2 linked regions of the Lytechinus pictus genome follow. The protein of the gene in region 1 purifies or fractionates together with the protein of each later gene. This does not show direct contact. Links are inferred from orthologs where the notes say so. Each region holds a gene or a part of one and is shown on either strand. Other genes may lie near its edges.

What was found. The genes of interacting proteins can lie anywhere in the genome.
Region 2: the proteins of NHP2-like protein 1 (region 1) and nucleolar protein 56-like fractionate together in Homo sapiens (co-fractionation; 3 studies listed by BioGRID, with this or other methods). This does not show direct contact. The link is inferred for Lytechinus pictus from reciprocal best matches to the Homo sapiens genes SNU13 and NOP56.

The regions. Positions count from the first base shown.
Region 1 is NC_087254.1:23,672,619-23,679,823, forward strand, and holds the start of NHP2-like protein 1, read left to right. Parts: upstream 1-4,112; 5' UTR 4,113-4,452; coding exon 4,453-4,455; intron 4,456-7,205.
Region 2 is NC_087256.1:9,011,037-9,018,581, reverse strand, and holds the start of nucleolar protein 56-like, read left to right. Parts: upstream 1-4,450; 5' UTR 4,451-4,452; coding exon 4,453-4,648; intron 4,649-5,290; coding exon 5,291-5,461; intron 5,462-5,864; coding exon 5,865-6,063; intron 6,064-7,533; coding exon 7,534-7,545. UniProt on the Homo sapiens protein: Involved in the early to middle stages of 60S ribosomal subunit biogenesis. Required for the biogenesis of box C/D snoRNAs such U3, U8 and U14 snoRNAs. Part of the small subunit (SSU) processome, first precursor of the small eukaryotic ribosomal subunit.

The sequences.
Region 1 (7,205 bases):
GTATACTCCCAGAACTTCCCCATAATTTATGATACAATATATACTCACTCTTTCTCATTAAGGTTTATACAGCTCTTCAGCATCATCTATAAAGAATGAAATATTGTATAATTCAAACAATAAAAAACAAAAGAAATAGTGAGTGAGGGACATCATCGACTGTCTCATTTGAGTTGTACATATCACTAGTGTTTTGTGAAAAATAAGCAAACTTTAAAATGTCATAGGCTTATTTTACATCCGATTTTGATGGAATTTTCAGCGTTTTGCTAGTTTGATTTTTCTCTAGTTATTAAAATAATCAATATTTTTCTGGGGTGGACTTGACCTACCGGGTGTGTTTCTCAACGGGGTTATTCCCCCCGTATTCCATGATTTAACTGATCGACCCAGACCCCCGGGTTTTGGGACTGAAGCCCCCCCCCCCCCAAAAAAAAAAAAAATCGACCACAAAGAAAACAAATATATATATATTTATATATATATATATATATATATATATATATATATATATATATATATATATATATATAGGTCCTATAAGCGAAGGCCTATATAATTATTTCATTCATGTCGTCAAGTGCTCTAAAATAAAAGTTTTTAATATTCAAATTCAAAAATTTTCTCGCTCGGTCGCTAAACGCTCCCTCGCAAAATATCATCTAAATGAAGAACACATTAATGAAATCAATAATCTCCTGCAATAGCTAAGCTATATAGTAGACTGCCTTGCAACTTAACCTCCATAATGTATTCACCCACCACGAAATGCCATAAAATTGAATAAAACCTGTCGTGTTTTGGACTTTGGTCATCAAAAGCGCTCCGCCTTAGAGCATCTAATCAAGATGGAAAGTGTGCTATACAAATCTAATGTATTATTATTATTATTAGATGTAAATGATTTGACTGGTCTTCAATAGGCCACATAGGATATGTGTATTCTTTTGTGTTATACTGGGATGTTGTGCAGGGTATATCATTTGGCCGTTTTGTTGAATAAGTATCCCATTCAGTATTATTTGCTGCAGGTGTATATAGGCTTAATTACATTATTATTTGTAAAGATCATAAGTGCTTCAAATTCTAGGTTTGGCTTCAAACATTTTCTCCCTGGTCACCACATCCCCTCGTATTTTTAAGGGGTGTCATATTAAAACCCCATCTCCTGCCATGTTCTATACCTTTTTACGTTCAAAGTTTAAAAAACGCCTCAGGACTGGGTAACAATTAACACAAACCAATTTCCTGCCTATCCAGTCCTACCCCCGCCCCCCTTTCTATCGTTAAATGTCCTCATCTACATCTGTAACACCGATCAGGCCCTAATGCATAATAAATGAGATGAAAAATTCTCAAGCATTTTGATTTTTTTTTCTCGGTCGCTATGCTGCCTCGCACAATATTAGAAAATTTCATAGGAGGGTGACTAGCTAATTGGTGTGTATAAGGCTATCCACAATAGGCCATTTTTATTGTATTGAAAAAAACCAACGTCAAAAATATTTCAAGCCCCCAGAAGACCCCCCCCCCGTAAAAAAAGTTAAGTCTATATAGAACCGCGCCTGCGTGTATAGCTTATTCCTCCATTCTTTCTTGTTTTCTCTCCATCTTTATCCTCTTTTCTCCTAGTTCCTCCCACCCCCCTCCTTAAAAAAACCACAAAACATAAGAAGGGGCACGCCTCACATTTTTAGGTTTTATAAGCTAGCTTGCACATAATGCGATTTCAGCTTAATTAGGCCTACAAGGTCATGAAAGTCAGAGGCCTGTTGCGAAAAAGAAAATCTCTGGCAATTGTAACAGCTATTATAGGCCCACGCAGCCCACCCCCCCCCCCCCCCAGCCCTGAACCTTAAAGGGGAATCCAACCCAAATAAAAACTTGTTTTTATAAGGAAAGGAAAATTCAGACAAGTTGATAGGTGAAAGTTTGAACAATATTGGACAAACAACAAGAAAGTTATGAATTTTTAAAAGTTGTAAATATTGGTAATCACTATATTCATGGAGACTTCAAATTGGCCGCATATGGGATGTCATAGTGATGTAAGGCAAGGACTACTCTTCCATGTACTCCAATACATATTATGCCTAAAATGTCATTTTTTCAAAAAGTTTTATTTCAAATTATATTTTTCTTTCATGAGGACATTAAACAATATATTACCTGGGTTATATTTAGATAACTGCCCCAGGGGAATGGGTACTTAGGAGAAAACCACAAATCCCTGATAATAAAGTACATGGCCTATGGGAAAGTTGTCCTTGCCCATTGTCATAATTTCCTTACCCAGTTGCCAATTTGAAATCTACATACTATTAGTGATCTCAATTTTAAAGCAGCTATAACTTTCTTATTGCTTGTCCGATTTCTTTCAAACTTTCACCATTCTGTTTAATTCATTTTTTCTCCTTCCCAACACAACATTTTATGGCCAAGGCTGGATTCCCCTTTAAATATATCCGCATGATTTTGTTCGGCCTTCTTGAATGTGAACAAATTTTTTTGATATGTAATGATATTCGTTTGAATAGAAAGTTTTATGAACATGGTGAAGTATAAGTTGTTGCGACCTCAGGTCTATGCGAAGAAGGTCAGCTTTTTCGACTTCATTCTTCCCAACATGTGTTCTTGGGTGTAAGCAAGTAATAAATCTAACAATCTTATTTTGAATAATTATACACTTTTTTTGATCAACCTTTCCAAGACTGCAGTACCATGCTGCATTAGCATAATCAAATAAACACTGTATTAATGAAAAGCTTAAAATGCGTCTGGATTTCGTATTCATGCAGTTTTGGTACCGGTATATAGAAATTTCAAGCGAGCATTAGCTTTTTTTACAATAGATGTACATGAGAGATCACTATTCAATATCAGGCCTAAATACTTCACGGAATTCTGTCTCTTAATTAATTGATTGTTATAGTATATATTGAAATAATCTGTATGCTTAGACTTACCCCGCGAACAAAACAAAATACTTTCAGTCTTACCAACATGTAAGCTAAGCTTATTATCTGTCATCCATTTAACACAATTTGATAATTCTAAGCTAAGTTTTTCACCGATCAGCTTAGGACTTGTATCAGAATAGAGTAAAACACTGTCGTCTGCATATAAAAGTAATTTACTTTCATTAACACAATTACACATATCATTGATATAGCACATAAAAAGAATGGGACCTAATATGCTCCCCTGTGGAACTCCGCAGTTTATAGGCATAGAATATGAAAGTACATTTTGCATGGATACCACTTGACGGCGATTGGTCAAGTAAGACCTAAACCAATTCAAGCATGCTGAATTCAAACCCATCACTTCTAATTTCTTTAAGAGTATTTCATGATTAACTGTATCGAATGCTTTTTTTAAGTCAAGAAGAACCATCCCAACATAACGGCCTTCGGAAATTTCATTCCTAACAAAATCCAACAAGTGAATTAAACATGTTTCAGTAGAATAACCATTCCTAAAACCAGACTGAAATTCATAAATGATTTTGTATTCTTTAAAGTATTTCTCAATTTGAGAATACACGCATTTCTCCAAAATTTTCGACACTATATGCTTAACACACTAATAGGTCTATAATTCCCAACATGAGTTTTGTCTTTCTTTTTGTGTAGTGGTGTGACTTTAGCGATTTTCATTTCATCAGGGAAGGTACAAGTTGAAATATATAGGTTAATAGTGTTAGTTAAAGGTATAAAGACATTTTTTGCACCATCCTTTAAAAATCTAGCAGGAACCAAGTCAAGTCCGATACTTTTTGATATTTTCAACTTGGATAATTCATCTAATACAAACTTTTCTGTGGCAGGAGAAAAATTAAAACAGCCTCTTTGTATACCTTTTATATAGTTTTTTTTTAATTAGGACTGTCGGCCCCAAACTCATTTCTGTCCGTAATGGGGAGCTCACAAGATAATTTATCGGCCACTGTTGTGAAATAATTGTTAAATTCGTTGGCTATCTTTAGATTATCATGACATAATTCTCCTTCAATATTAATAACACTTTTCTGAATATTTTTTTGTTTGTTTTTTAAACCTAACTCTTAACAGACCATGATTGATCAGCAAGTGCGTCTCCACGTAAAGACTAGCACAAACAAAACTTGCTGTTTCAATTCTGAGCGAGAGGGCCTTCAGTACACAAGACATGGATAGGCTGCACATTCAGACCCTATAACTCGAGTGAAGGGTTTGCCCAGCAGCTCACTTGTCTCGGACTTCGTTTTTAGCATACGAGCGCGGCGCATAACATCGCATGCATATATATGTATACGTATATATATATACGTATCCGATCGATCCGATATCCCCATTATTTGCTTTCCATAAGTATACGCACGTGGAGCTCGTTAGGCCTCAGTGAAGCGCAACGCCGAGAGGACCGAAATTCATCTTTTTCTATCCTAACCAATCCAAGAAACTCTCTAATATGGTATGTTACATACTTATTTCGAATTCGTGGTACATTTCACGCATGTTTGATTAATTATTTTAGCATTATTTGTTGAAAATGTGCATCCTGCACAACCAATTTATAATACGGCAATACGATAAACTCGGCTCAGCGATTTATCTCGTGTGCAATTCTAATACTGAATCACGAAAACGTGATAAGATACATGGGATGTTCGTGGGCGAGAATCGCATACGCAGATGATGGGAATGGACTAATGGCTAGGGCCTGTTTCATGACGAACCAAGTCGAACCATGTACCTGTAACTTAAAGGAAAATGAAACCTCTGAACAAAGATAGCTTGTGTGAAAATAGAAAAATCAAAGAAACAGATCAACAAAAGTTTGAGAACAAAAATGAGACAAATAATGAGAAAGTTATATGAATTATGAGCATTTCAGAATATTGTGATCACTAATGCTATGCCTATGACGAGATCCTCACATTGGCAATGCGACAAAGATGTGTGATGTCACTTGTGAACAACTCTCCCCATTACTTTAGTATATATTTCACTAACACTGCCTCTTTTATCACATCTATAAGTAGATCGTGTGTTCTTCTATAAGAGAGCATGTACCGGTAATACAGATTTTTAAAGAATACATCATGGATAAAGAGTTTGTATCACCATAAGAAAAAGCGAAAAGAGACACTTGTTCCAAAGGTTTCATTCCCCTTTAAGTTGTAACGACGCCGAAAGGTTGACAGTTGATGAGGCCTGTAATGTAGGTTTTATCTTGGAAGTATTTGGTCTTGCTTTTGAATTTGATTTGTCTACTGTTGATTGTCTTGAAAATGAAATTGTATTTTGTTTTGATTTTGTACAAAGTACAGTATTTTTCATGTTGAGTTTTCGATTTTTTTGTGTGATTGTGATCTGATGCAGCTGCAGACCTGTCCGTACATTTGTATTTCTGATGAAAAAAAATGTTTATTTTTCTGTTTTTTTTCCCATGATTGATCCGATGTGAACACTAAATAAAAAATTCTGTCCATTACTAGACTTAGTCTACATGGTCTAGCTAGTAGTAGTAGGACCACTCGCTCTGATACTCCGAGTGACAAAGGTGAGATTTTAGGGGGAGAATAAACTCATGCAACAACTTGACCTTTAAAAACTGATATTACCTAGGGATACCTTGGGAAGTTTCTGAATGTAGGCATGTTATGCCTCTATTGAGTTCTAGGTTTTTCCTCAAGATGGCTGGCTCACTTCCGAGAACAGGGCTTTCGTACTTCGTAGCCATATTTTATTTGGCTCATTTTTCCAGCATCTAATGTATCCAGGGCAGCTTCAAAACTGTGCACACTTGGGGCAGTGACAACTTCATTATTTAGGCTATTCCATGTCTTACGTATTCTAACATAAAAAGACTTCCTATATTTCTGGGTCTTTGTCCTTGTTATGAACAATTTTTTACTGTGACCTCTGGTATGTTCACGATATTTTTCTTCGAGATTAAGTTTTGTACATTGATCATAATTATTAAAGTGTTTATATGTTTCAATCATATCACCCCTAACTCTTTGATACGCCAGAGTTGGGATTTTTAATCGTTTAAGTCGTTGTGGATAGGAAAGCTTCCTTAATTCAGGGACTAATTTTGTTGCCCTTCTTTGTACGTTCTCTAATGCATGTATATGTTTTTTCAGTACGGGGTTCCACACAGCATGGGCATACTCAACTTGTGGTCGGACAAGCGACTTATACAACAATGCAAAGTTATTTTTGTCTAGATATACAAAAGTTCGTCTGATCAAGCCCATAAGCCTGTTGGCCTTGTTTATCTTCGATTGCATGTGCTCTTCAAAGCTGAGTTTATCATCAATCACAACACCCAAGTCCCTTTCGGAGGTGACATGTTCAAGCGCATCATTCATTAAAGTGTATGCAAAAGCTTCCTGCCGGTCCTGCGTGATACCAATAGAGAGTACACTACATTTCTTGGGGTTGAATTTCAGCAGCCATTTTTCTGACCCGCATTTCAAATGGTCAAGATCTCTCTGGAGTGAATTGCAATCATTCTGATCTCTTATATACTTGAACAGCTTGGTATCATCTGCAAAAAGATAAACATTACTTCCAGTAACAACATCTGGGAGATCATTGATATATAACAAAAACAGCACGGGCCAAGAACACTCCCTTGCGAAATTCCGCTATCTACATGTCCCCAACTTGAGAACTCGCCATTCACACACACTCTCTGTCTCCTTCCAACAAGGAATGCCTCGAATAACCACCTGTTCATTTATACCAAACCTTTTCAAGCAGTCGACGGTGAGGTACCTTGTCAAAGGCTTTCATAAAATCTAAACAAATTACATCAATTTTCTTACTTTTCACAAAGTTTCACTTCTTTTCCACGCTTCTATCAGCAGCTCAATTCATGAATATTCATGAGTAGGACTAAACATCGAGATCATTTTGCATTTGCATCAGATATGGATGTATAGTCCTCATGAATATTCATGAATTGAGCTGCAAATTCCGCGCAATTTGCCTTTGCGATGTTTTGGAATCGGCAGTAAACTAATACGTTCAGGAAATTAAAGAAGCATGGAAAAGAAGTGAAACTTTGTGAAAGGTAAGAATATTAGTTTTTATTGTTTTTAAAGATCGTGTTGTTGCATGAGTTTTATATTTACCCCCATAAAATCCCACATATATCACTCGGAGTATCAGAACGAGTTCACCACCTTGATGATCGGGTAGGTGAAGCAT
Region 2 (7,545 bases), on another chromosome or scaffold:
TGTGGGCGTGAAAAAACGATATACATATCCGATATCCTCTAAAACGTTCGCACATATCAACTTCAATAATTCGTACTTGAAACGAATATCTGTGAATGAATTGCCAATTCCACTTTGTTGAATGTGTACTTCTATCAAAATCTATTGAATCACGTACCTCTACCGACCCAAGGTGGATTTTCCAATCGCCATAAAGATTATGCAGCCACAATCACAGTAGACACATCCATAAATGAATATTAATTTCATTCGCTACGAACTTAATCCCCTCCCCCACAAAGTCACAAACATCCCATCATTTTCATCTACATTGCCCACGGCCACCCCCCATTCTCTTTTTTTCCTTTACACAAATTAATTTCAAATGATATTTTGTTTTAAATCCTAGTTAAGCAATTGTACAACAAATTCATAAAGCATTCACTGTGATGACTAAAAACATTTCTCAGGCCCGCGACAGGTGCGCTCATTATTTAATTGGCAGGCAAAGAGTAATAAAGAACAATACAAATGAAAATACACTGTACGTATAACTCACATTAAAAAAATGAGTCGTAATGATAAAAAATGTGAATAATATTAATAAAGATTATTAATTATGAAAATTATAACAGATTCAATGAATATATGAAAAAAATCAAATTAAATTAGTTTTGGATCCCATCTAATTTTGGAAGACTATCGGATCCCCGGATCAAGGATTTTGATGCCATGTGCGATTTGTATTATGAATGTGACCGTTGCGAGCGCGAGTGCAGTGGCACAGAACTTGGTAGACACGCCGTCGCGAAATGAATCAACAGTTTCAAAAGATCGACGTAGAGATCAAGACTTTGGAAATAATGGAGTAAAATCAGAATTTAAATGTGAATAAATCATTTTGATGTAAGTAAATGAGTTGGACATTATATCAATCCATTCCATTGGCTTTGTTATTATTAACGTGATCTTTGAATAGTTTTTCTCAATTCGCTCTACGGCAGTGTCATCAGAAATGCATTAAATGAATTCATGTAGATGTAGCTATAAAGGCTGGGGCCTGGGACGAGATGAAACTATATTTCGATCGAATTTTGATAGTAATTTTGACACACTTTATATTTGACATAATAAGTGACAATATCAACTGAAATTCGTAATAATCTAAATTACATTGCCCAAGCCAGTAACCCACGATACCCCTCTCCCCTCACTTGTTTTTGAGAGTATTTACTACCATTTTAAAGACGTAAATAATGTGAGCAATGCGATACGCAAATGCGAGGTAAACATCTTCGCACTTCCCACAAAAGAGATTGGGCCTCGAGTCGAGGTCGTATCGTATATAGCGCACTAGTAGTAGTGAGTGAGAAATCCCGGGAAGGAATCGTGGACGAAATAATCGACAAGTTTACTTTAGGATCTGAAAAGCAGATTATTTTTTTATATATTATTCAGTTTTTGTGTAGATCTAGGCCTGCTTTACAGTTGTCGGCCACGGTTGTCGGGGAAGTTCAGGGTTGGCGGATTTGCCCTGAAAATTTTCAGGCTTGGCGGCGCCCGCCAATCGTGACGCGTGGTAGTGTAAAGATTGTTTGAAGGAAGAGAATTTAAAATTCCACCAATTTACTGTGAAGAATTTTTCTCTCAGAAAACAAAGTCAGTTTTTTTGGTTACTCACGTTACATCACCTGAGCAGGTTGCAATATTTATTTTTGAACAAGTACTACAAATTTAATTGAAAATATGTTGTGTATTTTAAGTAATTTGACTCTTCTATCAGAAATATATAAAGTGGTATGATGTTGCAATAACAAAATGGTAATAAGGCATATTTAATTTTTCACTATATTTCTTGTATTTTTGTACAGAGTGGAAGACACAACTTTTGACCATTTTTTTCCAAAGTATACATATGAAAATAATCTTTTTAATTTTTGTTCCTGAAACCATCATGTATGAAGGACTTAAAGTATTTAAAAATTCAAGAAAATATTGAATTTGAGAATTTGAATTTTTAAGCTCATGTCCACCAACCTATGGAATTGCCCCAATGAGTTTTGATACAATTCTGTTGCGTGCCCTCGCAAATCAAGATATTTCTGGTTATTTTCCTAAGTGGGCAAGACACAAAATCGCTTTTGCCTTGTTTGTATTTGTGGCAGTTTTATTTTTTTTGCTCAAAATAGAAAGATTTTATCAATTTTATATCATCAAAACATGAATAAATCCTTCATAAGTGGTTACCACTTTGCCCCCTACTCCATTTTCACCACATGATTTTGTTTTAATCATTGATTTAAATCACTTCCATTGAAATATGTACATGTGCAATGTACAACTCCAGGTTTATTGTACTAAATAAACTTGCAACTTTTTCCCAATAAGTCATAGCTTTGCAAATCAATGCTTTAAACAATCAAAAAGCTCCAAACATGGCTCAAATGCCAAAGGAGGTTTAAACAAACAAAGAGAAATGGAGTTTTCTCTATTAAACACATGATTTTCAGTCCTTGGCTTGAAAATCAAGAATGTTTCTCTTTCAAGAATGTGAGTCTCTGAGTCATGGAATTCTTCCAAAGAAACTGATCCTCATTTCATGTTTGAATAGGAACACTAACTTTGCAGTATTAGCTGTACCAAGGCAGTTCCTCAACTTGGACCAAACCAGTCAGTAGGAGCTCCCAACACGAGAGGATGCAGAAACAGCATCTTCGTCATGACTTACAATATGTTCTATATAAATTCTATTTTGACTGTCTTTAATTATGAAATAGAATAGAAGTTAATAATAATTTTAGTTGTGAAATGTATGATTTTGAAATGTATGATTTTGAGTTAAGTGTAAGGGTTTTATTTTTAGTCTTTCCACTTTGTTTTAGAAAATATTGTTTTAAAAAAAAAAAAAATTAAATCCAATTTTTTTTTATTAAAAAAAAAAAAAAAAAAAAAAAATTGTCAACCCTAAAAGAGAGAATAGAGAGAAAGACAAAAACGAAATAGATCTACGGAAAAAAGGAAGTAAGAAAAATGAAAGAAAGAAAAGTAAGGAAGAAGGAAAGAGAAATGAAGGAAATAATTTCTTAAAAGTTCAAATGGAAAGAAAGAAGGGAAAAAATAAAAAGTAAAGAATGAAAAGAAAAGAAGCTAGGGATGGAAATAAAAAAAATAAAAACAGGAAGGAATGAAAGACAAAAAAAAAAGGTACCGTGTAAGAATATGATTTGACAACTCATAATACCAGTGCAGTACCAGGTACAAGTACCGGTATCATCACATCACAACAGCGATTTTCACAAAGTGACTGGTGCACCACTAAATGTGCGTGTTGACTGCGGATCTCTACATGTAGCCTGGCTTTTGGCCTGGCCAATACGCTGCACCGTGATGATATTCAAAAGCTCTCACATAATTCCATTGCAATTTTGCTTTGCAATTGTAGATTTTGATACAACCTTCGTAGATACTTTTCAAACACCTAACCTTGGTTAGTCGTTTTAGGTATATGAATTCTTTGATTTGTGAATATGAAATCGTAATGTTTTTGTGAATTTTGGAAGTTGCAAGTGTGATTAACGTTGGCAGTAGAGGGCATGCGCATCACCCGTAATGAGAGTAAAGCGAAAGTTCCTCGTGTCATAAAAGTGCTACGTCTTGTCTGCGTGCTCCCAAATCCGTAGGGAGGCAGTACTCAATATGATCCGCAAATTTTGCCCATGTTTTTAGAAAGCAGACAGCACACACTTGCAAGTATGGCTGGTTGAGACCAAGCTTTTAAGCAAAATAGAGCCGTAAATACAATGTGGGTAAAATGGATAATACATAAAACTAAATTGGCTGGATTTCACCTCGTACAGAAAATTGAGGTAAAGAATTACATTTTCATATATATGAGAATGTGATCTCTTGTTAAAATTTGAAACAAAATTCTTTTTAAAGATGTTGGTCAAACTTCATTAATCTACATGTAGGCCTATTATTTATATTGGGTAATGTTTCTTTTGCATCAATACCTCTGGTTCTCTTCTTGTATTGTTATTTTACATGTACCATCTTGGCATGTTGTTTCACTTTTTCTTATTGATTTTTACACACACTAGCTGTTTGTTTTACTTTTTAATATGTAAATGTAAATTTTGAAAATTGTTTTATTCAATAAAATGCCTACATGTAGCTGTGAAGGGGGGGGGGCGTACTCGAGAAACAAACTAGTGTCTGTTTACTGAAAGCAGTGTAACAGTTTTAAATGAAATAACTAGATAACTCTGGCCTCAACATGCATGTAATCATGTGGTAAACACCATATTACTCCCACCATTCACATGTAAATTGAAATATACTAGAAACTTGTGAGCTATCCATTCCTTTATTTCAGAGTTCTCAAACTATGTTTAAGTACATGTTCGTCAAACCCATTTACAGATCCATTTTATCCTGTTCCATTTTCTGTTCTCTTTTTTCACCCAGGCTATGATGATTTTATTTGAACATGCATCAGGCTACGGCTTGTTTGCAGTCAAGGAGTTTGAGGAGGTCTCTGTCCTTCATCACCAAGTCCAGGAATCTGTGACAGACTTTGGCAAGTTTGCCTCTCTGATCAAGCTTCAGGCCTTCTCGCCTTTCAAATCAGGGGTCAACGCACTTGACAATATCAACAGCATCTCAGAAGGTAAATTTTGCCAATAATTTTTTTTTTTTTTTAATAAAAATAAAAATGAAAATGTTGATACTGATTTTGTTTAATAGCATTTCCTATACTTGATGTTTTGATAATACACAATGTAGCTCTTGCTCAAGGACATAAAAGCTGTGTTGTGGTTGAACCCCAACTTCCATTACTTGATCATGATGGCACAGACTCTAGGAAGTTCGTTCAACAGAGAAAGAAGCAATGAATAAAAAATTTAGAGCCTGTAGTGAAGTATATTTTGCAAATCATCAGGTGGTAGTATTTTGGTTGAGTTTTGTTGAAGACATGTGCATGGTCTGTGGCAGGAAATTACTGGAAATTTTACAACAGATCGATTCCTATTTACTTACAACAATGTGAATGATATTCGCCCTTCGATTCAGGCCTCTCAATCATTCTGAATTTGGAGGAAAGAATGTGATCTTTTTTTGCCATTTTGAGCCCCTGTTTGAGACAATTTTCCTACGTTTCTTGATAACTTTACTACACGATCCTATGAAAACTACTGTTTCCTGATTTTTTTAGCAAGATCATTCCTATTTTTCTTTAAATTGGTCAAGAGGTATGTTGATACCCTAGAAAATATAACCTCTTTTTTTGTGTTCTTTTATTGTGTCTCAGGTGTGATGACAGAAGACCTGAAACTCTTCCTGGAGACCAACATGCCAGAGAGCTCTAAGAAGAGGAAGAAGATCACATTGGGTGTGGCCGATGGGAAGATAGGTGCTTCTATCCAGGAGGAACTAGGTATCCCCTGTCAGACGGGAGGAGTCTTCCAGGAGATCGCAAGAGGTAAAAACTTTCTAATAGGGGACTGTCTTCAAAGGATGTCAAATGCACAGTGGAGGCATGTGATAGATCATAGATTAATCTTGAGCCTTGGCATTAGAATAAAAACAAATTGAAATGGTATTTTATGTTTTGATAAATTTTGACTTGATCTATCAGGCAGTGAGATCAATTAGAGATATCAGTAAGTATTTGTTCTTTGACAGCATGTTTGTGGTAAGGATGTTCTCAAGGAGAGAAACACAAAAAAATACTACATATTCAAATCGCCAAAATAAATTCTGGGAGCTATGAATAATTCAGACCTGTTGATGTTATTGACTGTGGCTCTTCGCCAGTAAATTATGTAAATTGAAAAGAGCATTAATTATCAAAATAGTAACCACATTCCTTTTTTTTTTACAAGGTCTGAGGTACCATTTCTACAGACTGGTCAAGGGACTGACCGCTCAGACAGAGGCTAAAGCACAACTTGGTCTAGGTCACAGCTACTCAAGGGCAAAGGTCAAGTTCAATGTGAACAGAGCAGATAACATGATCATCCAATCCATCTGTTTGCTTGATCAACTGGATAAGGATATCAATACATTTTCAATGAGAATCAAGTGAGTATTGTGTTGGGCTGTACATTGTGACAATATGTTAAAATATCACACTTAAATGAGTAGACAATACTGGGTAGACTACATAAAGGTAAACTTGCGTAAAGTCAATCTTCCATATGGCGAATATATGCATTAAAGTGATTGGTTAACATTGTTTTGACTTTTAAAAAATCTGAGCTAGAAGGTCACACTTGTCACCTGTGTCTGTGATATGTTACAAAAATGAAGCCCAGAAAAAATTGCGTTCGAAAATAATTATTTAGTGCTTCAAAAATTGAAATATAAAGTGACCAGAAACACCATCTTAATTTCATCCCATACACTTATGTGTACTATTTAGGCGTCTATTAGACACCCATTTACAAAATCGGGGTTTGCCTTGTAGTTTTAGCTTTTCATTCTCAATAACGGCTGTTTTCAGGGTTTATTAGTTCTAATACATGCACTTGTACACATGTTTCATCTTGGTTTGAGAATTTTTTAAATAGGCTGCTCACAAAGTTAAACAATACCTTTAAGCCGAAGCAGTTTCTTTGACAGATTTCGCAAAACACATGTCTTAGGAGCCACTTTTGTACTTATTCAAACATATGTCTGGGGCCCCCAATAGATTAAGTTGTTATAATAAATAATTGGAGTCTATCATTATGTTTCAGACATAAAAACCTGAGCTTAAATTGCTATAATAATAATAATAATAATAGGCATTTATATAGCGCCATCTATCTAGAAATATTCTATTCCGAGGCGCGTTGTTATTATTATTATTACCCCGGCTTTAGCTCGAGCTGCCTTTCAGCGCTTATGCATTCAAGGAATTAATCCTGCCGGGTACCCATTCACTTCACCTGGCTCGAGTGCAGCACAATGTGGATGATTTTCTTGCTGAAGGAAATTACGCCATGGCTGGGATTCGAACCCACGACCCTCTGTTTCAAAGTCAGAAGACTTATCCACTGGGCAACAACGCTCCACATGATAGTTAATCATAAATCATGGTCATCCATAGTACATTGCACTAGGGTCCATGGGATAGGGTCATCAAATTGTCCCTCTTAACTTATATTTTACATTTCCCTGGTAATATACATTATTGTCTGTTTGCCACCTAGTAATGTAAGTATGGTTTGCTGACCCTGTTTAACATTCATAGGGGATGATTATCATCTTGTCATTACTATATTATAGAATACACAATTTTTTTAAATCATCATGCCACCCTGTGCTTTATGATATATCCTTTAGTAAGATATTAATTTGCATTTGCCACCCTTTACCCATGTGTAATAAGGAGCTGGTGTATTGAATTTATCAAATGGTTAATGCTGAAATAAGTTGTCTAACTCTACATGTAGCTTCAGGTGTGATTGGTAGATCGCCCCCAAGTTGTTTGGATATGTACAATAAGTCTATACAAAATATATTGCTTTGTGATTTAAATATTTACCTTGAATTCTTTTACCCTTCCAGAGAATGGTACTC